Linked DNA regions of Saccharomyces cerevisiae S288C. The gene in region 1 interacts genetically with each later gene. Each region holds a gene or a part of one and is shown on either strand. Other genes may lie near its edges.

Evidence for each region.
Region 2: mutations in CHP1 (region 1) and SKY1 together harm fitness more than expected from each alone (negative genetic interaction), as found in Saccharomyces cerevisiae (2 studies listed by BioGRID).

Annotation. Positions count from the first base shown.
Region 1 is NC_001148.4:123,181-127,447, forward strand, and holds CHP1 (ribosome-associated Tef1p biogenesis chaperone CHP1), read left to right. Parts: upstream 1-2,825; coding exon 2,826-3,266; downstream 3,267-4,267. Other genes in the region: NEW1 (New1p), read left to right, coding at 1-2,177; MMT2 (Mmt2p), read right to left, coding at 3,454-4,267.
Region 2 is NC_001145.3:697,574-703,278, forward strand, and holds SKY1 (serine/threonine protein kinase SKY1), read right to left. Parts: upstream 3,467-5,705; coding exon 1,238-3,466; downstream 1-1,237. Other genes in the region: GAS3 (putative 1,3-beta-glucanosyltransferase), read left to right, coding at 1-797; GUA1 (GMP synthase (glutamine-hydrolyzing)), read left to right, coding at 4,217-5,705. UniProt on the Saccharomyces cerevisiae protein: Constitutively active kinase, specifically and sequentially phosphorylates serine/arginine (SR)-type shuttling mRNA binding proteins in their RS dipeptide repeats.

The DNA of each region.
Region 1 (4,267 bases):
GCAGACTGACTTTAGAAGAAGGTAGGGATTTCTTACTTGATCACCTCAAGGACATTAAAGCTGATGATTCCTGTTTTGTCAAGCCTTACATGAATGACGAAACTGTTATCAAGTATATGAGCAAGATTTTGACCGTGGATTCTAATGTGAACGACTGGAAAAGACTTGAAGATTTTTTGACCGCCGTTTTTGGTGGTTCAGATTCACAAAGAGAATTTGTCAAACAAGACTTTATCCATAACTTGAGAGCTTTATTCTACCAAGAAAAGGAAAGGGCAGATGAGGACGAAGGTATTGAGATTGTCAACACTGATTTCTCCTTAGCTTATGGTTCAAGAATGCTTTTGAACAAAACAAATCTTCGTCTCCTAAAGGGTCATCGTTACGGTTTGTGTGGTAGAAATGGTGCTGGTAAGTCTACTTTAATGAGAGCAATTGCTAATGGTCAATTGGATGGTTTTCCTGACAAGGATACATTACGCACCTGTTTCGTCGAACATAAATTGCAAGGTGAAGAAGGTGATTTAGACTTGGTTTCCTTCATTGCTTTAGATGAAGAACTGCAATCTACTTCTCGTGAGGAAATTGCAGCCGCTTTAGAATCTGTCGGTTTTGATGAAGAGAGAAGAGCACAAACTGTTGGATCTTTATCTGGTGGTTGGAAAATGAAGTTGGAATTGGCAAGAGCTATGTTACAAAAAGCTGATATTTTATTGCTGGATGAACCTACCAATCATTTAGATGTTTCGAACGTTAAATGGTTAGAAGAATACTTACTGGAACATACTGATATTACTTCATTGATTGTTTCGCATGACTCTGGTTTCTTAGATACAGTCTGTACTGACATCATCCATTATGAAAACAAGAAATTGGCTTACTACAAAGGTAACTTGGCAGCATTTGTTGAGCAGAAACCTGAAGCTAAATCTTACTATACCTTAACAGATTCTAATGCTCAAATGCGTTTCCCACCCCCAGGTATTTTAACAGGTGTTAAGTCTAACACTAGAGCCGTCGCTAAAATGACTGATGTAACTTTCTCTTATCCAGGTGCCCAAAAGCCTTCCTTAAGCCATGTCTCCTGTTCATTGTCTCTGTCTTCTCGTGTGGCTTGTTTAGGTCCTAACGGTGCTGGTAAATCCACTTTGATCAAGCTATTAACTGGTGAATTGGTTCCAAATGAAGGTAAAGTGGAAAAACATCCAAATTTACGTATTGGTTATATTGCTCAGCATGCATTGCAACACGTCAATGAACATAAGGAAAAGACGGCAAACCAATATTTGCAATGGCGTTATCAATTCGGTGACGACCGTGAAGTCTTATTGAAGGAATCCAGAAAAATATCCGAAGATGAAAAGGAAATGATGACAAAGGAAATCGACATTGATGACGGTAGAGGTAAGAGAGCCATTGAAGCTATTGTAGGTAGACAAAAGTTGAAAAAATCTTTCCAATATGAGGTCAAATGGAAATACTGGAAACCAAAATACAACTCCTGGGTTCCAAAAGATGTTTTGGTCGAGCATGGCTTTGAAAAATTGGTTCAAAAATTCGACGATCACGAAGCCTCCAGAGAAGGGTTGGGTTACCGTGAATTAATTCCTTCAGTTATCACCAAACATTTTGAAGACGTTGGTCTTGATTCTGAAATTGCTAACCATACTCCATTAGGTTCTTTATCTGGTGGTCAATTAGTTAAAGTCGTTATTGCCGGTGCTATGTGGAACAACCCTCATTTACTTGTTTTGGATGAACCTACCAACTATTTGGACAGAGACTCTCTTGGTGCTTTGGCCGTTGCTATTCGTGACTGGAGTGGTGGTGTCGTTATGATTTCGCATAATAACGAATTTGTTGGTGCTTTATGTCCTGAACAATGGATTGTGGAGAACGGTAAAATGGTTCAAAAGGGCTCTGCACAAGTTGACCAATCCAAATTCGAAGATGGTGGTAATGCTGATGCCGTTGGTCTAAAGGCCTCCAACTTGGCCAAGCCATCTGTAGATGACGATGATTCTCCAGCTAACATCAAGGTCAAGCAAAGAAAGAAGAGATTGACAAGAAATGAAAAGAAGCTGCAAGCCGAACGTCGTCGTCTACGTTACATTGAGTGGTTGTCATCGCCAAAAGGTACACCAAAACCAGTTGATACTGACGATGAAGAAGATTGAAAGCCTACTGGCTAGTGTTTTATCTTCGCTAACTTCGTTTGTTTCACTCCATCTTTTTTCTTTAATTCACTCCTCAAATGGAGTTTACTACGTTGATAGAATTTAGGACAAGCATATGACGCTCTCCTTCCTTTTTTGTTTTCTAGGTTAATTCATTTTTCATACAGAGTAGTTAATATTGGTTCTTTTCATATATGTACGGTACGCAGATTAATTATGTAAACTTAAACTTAAGGGATCCTTTTTGATGCTAACAATTGTCGATGTTGAACTACAAATTTATGTAAGAGGTCGTTGTTAAGGATTATTATTTTAAAAATACACGAAGATTGATTATTATTTCTTACATGAGGTTATGAATCGTGCTCCAAAAGTATACCAAAAATAACTCCTGAACTGCTAGGCACAGTTTGCGATAATTTAAAGGGGTTAAATACACTTTTACTACTGGCTTTCACCTTATAAATCCCTCATTAAACTAAAGATGAATGAACATTGTTGAAGAAATTGTCCGGGTAAGAGGTTGTACTAGGGAGTGATGAACATCCATAAATTCTTCGACTAGCAGAAGTAATGATAATTTTCACCCGTTAAAGCTACATCTGGTTAGATGGACTAGAAGAACCACGACGAAACAATCATATAACAATGTCTACTTTTAATGCAGAAACCGCTGATAACTTGGAAGATATCGAGAAACAATTCGCTGTTGTTGCTGTTGAACAAGCGGAAACATATTGGAAACTATTAACAAGTGTTCCCGGTTCCAAGTTACGTTTGACTAAGTTTGATGACGAAATATACGAGAATTTTATGGAGAGATTCCCAGAATACAAAGATGTTGAAAGGGTCAAAAAGTTTACGGAGGAAGAATTAAAAACAAAAGAAGCCAAGGAAAGATGGAGAAAGTTCTTCACAATTTTTGAGAAAAAAATCGAAGACTATAACTTTGGTACTTTGTTGAGGACAGACGCTTCAGCCGAGTATGGTCAATTTACTACTTGTTTTGTCGTGAGACTACAATTTTACGCTTTTGAAATTGCTAGAAATAAACACGGCTTGAACGATTGGATTGTCGGTCAGAAATGAACATGCATATATATTTGTGATTGATTATATAGAATACATTACTTTATACAAAGGAACAACACAAGGCATTCTTCCTTGTTCAACATATATATATATACATATATATATTAAGCTCAGTAAATTGTTGAAATGTGAAAGGCTGTACTTTTGCTCTTAACTTTTGAAAAAATTCATCATTGAGAATTCCCTAATGTTTATGGGTGTGAGTATCGGCAGAATCAGAATGAGTATGAGTATGATTTGTTGATTTAGTGTCATGAGAGTGCTCCAAATCACCTTTAGAGTCAGAGGTTACATCAACAAACTCGACGTCCACCTTCCCCACGTTTGGCACCTTCATACGTAAATCCTCTCTTATAGTCGAAATAGCGTTTTCCAAAAATCTTATCCCAACTTCCTGACCTGAATGTAATACTGGCACTTCCAAAGTTGTGGTGGCACGAAGATTAGGACCGGAAGCTAATATAGTAAGGTCTCTAACATGTAACGACTGTTTGAGATCTAAGTCTGTTTTCAAACTGCCAATGCTGTCTTTTATGACAGATTCGATTTCTAGATAACGCGGATCAGTAGGTGGTATAGATTGGTCAACTAACTCCTTCAGTGAGGATAAGATACCTTGTCCACCTGTTTTTATGATCAAACCTGACACTACAAGCCCACCTAAATTATCTAAGGATTGAATGTTGAAAAAATAACTAGATGTGATAGCGACCAACGCTACCAACGATGTCAAGGAGTCAACACGATGATGCCAGGCGTTTGCCATTAGTACATTAGAATTTGTTTGGATTGCAACTTTCTTTGTTGCCTGAAAAACCCATTCTTTAACCAAGATAGAACCCGCTGCTATCCATACAGCATTTACATTAGTTGCCTGTTGTGTTAGCGACTGAGAATGGGAATGCGTTTCACCAATTAAACCGGCCATCGATTCTAGAATGGCATGAGGAATGACAGGCCCCACAATAGCGCATAACGACGACCAACCGATAGATATA
Region 2 (5,705 bases), on another chromosome or scaffold:
GGGAATCTTCTGGCTATGACAAGTTAAACTCAACTTTCGAAGATGCTGTTATTCCGTTGATATTTTCTGAGTATGGTTGCAACAAAAATACACCAAGAACTTTTGACGAAGTCTCTGAGGGTTTGTATGGTGGTTTAAAGAACGTCTTCTCTGGTGGGTTGGTATACGAATACACTGAAGAAGCTAATAATTACGGTTTGGTTAAGCTTGATGATAGCGGTTCTTTAACTTATAAGGATGATTTTGTTAATTTAGAATCACAATTGAAGAACGTTTCATTGCCAACAACAAAAGAAAGCGAAATATCTTCTGACTCTATCTACAAGTGCGATAACAGTGCCATCACCAATATTTATTCTGGCTTTGGAACGAACAATTTCACTTTGCCTTCTCAACCAGCAGAAATTGCCAATATGATTGAATACGGTGTTAATGGCACCAACACCGGTAAGATATTGACTGATTATGCTGTTCCAACTACTTTTAACTATACAATTAAAAACAATAAAGATGATACCATTTCAGCTACTATTTCATACGACAAAGCTAACTCACTGAACGAACTAGACGTCACAGCCACAACGGTCGCAAAGTCAGCTTCCACATCACAATCATCTTCTCGCTCCTTAACTTCAAGCACCAGTCCATCTTCAAGCACTGGCTCATCTTCAAGCACCGGTTCATCTTCAGCTTCAAGCAGCTCCAAAAGTAAAGGCGTCGGAAATATTGTTAATGTTTCCTTTAGTCAGTCTGGATACCTTGCATTATTTGCAGGTCTGATTTCTGCTCTACTCTGAGCTGCTCATGTATTTTTTTGAAACATCCATGGACTTGTTTTCGTTTTCAACCGTTTTATTTTTTTGTGTTCTTTTATCTTAACATATGTAAAACAATTTATATGTTTTTAAATAGTAAACTTTTCATCAAAAACGCTTAGGTATCACACCCATCATCCTTCACCAGGACAACCATTGGGTGCAAAAAATAAAATCAAAAAATGTCGAGTATGGATTCAAAAACCGCTAAAGATAAAAGAAAGGAGAATCAGCATAATCTTTTGTTGTTACTTCAGAATATTATACTAGGTGTTACAAATTTACTTTGGTAAAAAAAAAAAAAAAAATTGCAAAAAAACTACTGAAAAATAAACAACTGAGCAGAGAACTAAAGTATGCAAAAAAGAGGTTAAACAGAAAAAAAAGTAAAAGGCAAGGGCAAAATAAAGGTATAAAGGTAATCAATGTCTTTTATGATCGCGGACTTCTTCAAACCATCCGGGGATATCGGAACCACTCCCGTACAACTCTCTATCAGGTACCCGAATCTCTTCCATACCCAAGGTATCCTTGAGCCATGGATGGTTAACCAAGCCACCTGCATCAGCTCTTTTCCTTGGGTCTAGCTGTAACATAGGCGACAAAAAATCAGATATTTCCTTGGCTTCGTCCTTAGAAAACTTATATTTTTCAGTTAAAACATCTTCTAAGGGCCAAAATTTCAATTTCGAGATATTTCTTAAAAGCCCTCTTGAATTGAAGAAAGTTCTTGTATATTTGCCGTTCCTCAAAAGGTATGATGGTAATTCTCCCAATAACTCGATGATTTGTGCAATATGGTCATCATCCTTAGTGTAGGAATGACCTTCGTCCGGTTCGAAAAGAAAATCTCCGGTAATCAATTCAAAAATTAGACAAGCAGTAGACCATATATCTGCACCACAACCCCAAGGGGCGCCTAGTAACACCTCTGGTGATCTGTATTCTCTTGTCTGTATAGAATTCGTGTAATGTTCGTCATACCAACAAGCATTACCTAAATCAGCAATCTTGATCTGAATCAAATTTTCTGGGGAGTTGATATCGGTACTGACGTTTGAATTTGAATCCATAGTATTAGAAATATATGGACCATTTGTATCGGAGCTTTGTGATATATTGGAAATATCAAATGTAGATAAAGAGTCTGCCAGCTGCTCTTCATGCAAAGGTGTGTTCATTATGTCCTCGTTATTATTGTTGTTACTGTTGTTATTGTTGTTATTTTTATTTTTACTATTATCATTATTGTTGTTATCATTACTGTCTTCATTTATGAACATCCTGGTCACAGAATGTGGTACTGAATTTAAGAAACTATTGTTGCTATTCTTAATGCCTATGCCATTATTAATACTGTTATTATTGATGGAAGATGGAATGTTCCTATTCCCAGATACGGAGGAAAAGCTATTGTGACTACTACCACAAAAGTGCGCCCTCATTTCAAAGAAATTTGATGAACTAATTGGGGAAGGTAATGGTTGCGACCCTGTGATAATTGTATGACGTCTAGGTCTTCTAAAGCATCTTTTTGACAAGTCCTTCTCTATAGAACGAGATTTGGAATTTGAGCTTGAGCCGCAGGGCATACTTGTTTGGCATTCTGCCCATTTCTCATCACTGCTATCGTTCGCGGTAATATCAGAAGACCGCGAAACGTGCCTCTGCAACCTTTTTGCCTCTCTCTTCTGTTTATCCAGTGCCTCGACCATTTGAACGATACCCTCAACATCTCCAATCTCCATCAACACGTTTTCTGGTTTAATATCTGTGTGTATAATACCACACCGCCTATGCATGTAATCAAGACCAAGCAGTAACTGCTTCGATATTTGCTTGACATAAATCAATGGAATGCCCCTATGTTCATACTTCTTTATCAAAGCCAGTAAGTTCTCGCCGAGGACTTCAAATACCATAACCACATGGACGCCATTGGGGCCCTTATGGTTGAAATGATCTAGCAATTTCAAAATATGATTAGCCCCCATGGAATCCTCCTTTGTATTATCGGCGTCATTCACTCTTTGCAAAAGCTTAATTTCGTCTTCAGCAGCTTCTGTGTAAACTTTGTCGCCCCGAACAATCTTCATAGCAACGTGAGTGTTGTTTACCATATCCTTTGCCAACCAAACGGTGGAGAAGTGGCCCCATCCCAGCTTTCTTACTAAAATGTAGCGTGCATCCTTATAGGGCTCGCCCTTAAAGGCAGGGTGGTACCCACCCGGCCTGTAATCTTTCAAAGACTCTTCGTTCCTTTCGTCACATGATGAGATAGAGGAATCTGAATCCAAATCTGAGTCTGATTGTGGCCCCGAATCCGATTGGATGGACACATGCGATTCAACGCCGCTATCTGGTTTTTTCTTAATGCTCTTTGTAGAAAAATCTTCTGTCTTCGAGGAAGTATCCTCTTGTACAGTACCGTTGGCACTAGAGGATGACTTGGAAGTCTGCAAGGCCAAAGACAGTTTAGACTTCGTTGGAGCAGGCGCCTTCTTCATCATGTTATAATCCCTTTGAAAGAAATTCTTCTTCGCTTCCTGCGAGCTTGTTGCTTCCTCACATGAAATGCTCGCATCCGTACTAGTGTCAGCCAAATGAGCGCTTTTAGTCACAAACCCAGGATAGTTAATTGATGAACCCATTAATGTCTACACTTCTTCTTTACTCTATCTCTTCAACCTCAAAAGGGGGTGTCTATTTATACCAAAAAACACAATTATTTCTCAGCGCCAGGTGATCTAACAATTTTGAATCAGTTTTCCAATCTCTATTAACTTGCCAGCTACAAATAGATCCCTCTATATCCTGTGACTTCTCTATAGCTCTTTCATAGCCCACACTCATTGTTTATTCTCTTTCAAATAAATAACGACGATAAGATTTAGAAAAATAGAAAAAGAAATTAGAAAAAAATCCGGAAATAATATAGGCTCGTCCGTAACGATTTAATATCACGTGGATAGTGATATAATTATGAGGTGTTGCCAAATAGAACCTTTAATTATGTTTAACAGCGAAAAAACAAGGTTGTCAAGTAGCCGACTCATTTCTTCGTGACGTTGGTGACAGGAATATGCTTTCATCCTCTCGCTCCCCTACAATGGCTTCGGTTCCCGACATTTTGACTCTTTTCATGCCGTCATTTCTTTTTCTTGCTTGCAGGAAATGAAAATTTTTTTTTTCTTTGGCGATGAGCATCGAGAAAAAATATTTCTTTTTTTTATCATTTTTTCAGTTTCATTTTCATTTCACAGTTATAAAACATTAGTTGAGTTATAGTTTCGGTCACGGTAGTCTCTAATTAGCTTGCGTTCGTTGTAGTTTAACTTCCCTGGGTCATTTGGTAGGTAATATCTATATTCTAAAATAAACTAACGACATCAATATTCACAATGGCTGCCGGTGAACAAGTTTCTAACATGTTTGACACTATCTTAGTGTTAGACTTTGGTTCTCAATACTCTCATTTGATTACCAGAAGATTAAGAGAGTTTAACATCTATGCTGAGATGTTGCCATGCACTCAGAAGATCTCTGAGTTGGGCTGGACTCCAAAGGGTGTCATTCTTTCTGGTGGTCCATATTCCGTATACGCTGAAGACGCTCCACACGTAGACCATGCTATCTTTGATTTGAACGTTCCAATCCTGGGTATCTGTTACGGTATGCAAGAATTGGCTTGGATTAATGGTAAACAAGTTGGTCGTGGTGACAAGAGAGAGTACGGTCCTGCCACTTTGAAGGTGATTGACGATTCCAACTCTCTATTCAAAGGTATGAACGACTCTACTGTCTGGATGTCTCACGGTGATAAATTGCACGGCTTGCCAACTGGTTACAAGACCATTGCCACCTCCGATAACTCCCCATACTGTGGTATTGTCCACGAAACTAAGCCAATCTATGGTATTCAATTCCACCCAGAAGTTACACATTCTACCCAAGGTAAGACTCTTTTGAAAAACTTCGCCGTTGATTTGTGTCACGCTAAGCAAAACTGGACTATGGAAAACTTTATCGACACTGAAATAAACAGAATCAGAAAACTGGTCGGTCCAACTGCTGAAGTCATTGGTGCTGTTTCCGGTGGTGTTGATTCTACTGTTGCATCCAAATTGATGACAGAAGCCATCGGTGATAGATTCCATGCCATCTTGGTCGATAACGGTGTTTTGAGATTAAATGAAGCTGCTAACGTTAAAAAGACCCTTGTCGAAGGTTTAGGTATCAACTTGATGGTTGTCGATGCTTCCGAAGAATTTTTAAGTAAATTGAAGGGTGTCACTGACCCAGAAAAGAAGAGAAAGATTATTGGTAACACATTTATCCACGTCTTTGAAAGAGAAGCTGAAAAAATTAAGCCAAAAGATGGTAAGGAGATTCAATTCCTGTTACAAGGTACTCTTTATCCAGATGTCATCGAATCCATTTCTTTCAAAGGTCCTTCTCAAACCATTAAAACTCATCACAACGTCGGTGGTTTACTAGAGAACATGAAATTAAAGCTAATTGAACCATTGAGAGAACTGTTCAAAGACGAAGTCAGGCATCTAGGTGAATTATTAGGAATCCCTCATGATCTAGTCTGGAGACACCCTTTCCCTGGTCCAGGTATTGCTATTCGTGTTCTAGGTGAAGTTACTAAGGAACAAGTCGAAATAGCAAGAAAAGCTGACAACATTTACATTGAAGAAATCAAGAAGGCCGGCTTATACAACCAAATTTCCCAAGCCTTTGCCTGTTTGTTGCCCGTTAAATCCGTTGGTGTTATGGGTGACCAAAGAACCTATGATCAAGTTATTGCTTTGAGGGCCATTGAAACTACTGATTTCATGACTGCTGACTGGTTCCCATTCGAACACAGTTTCTTGAAGAAAGTCG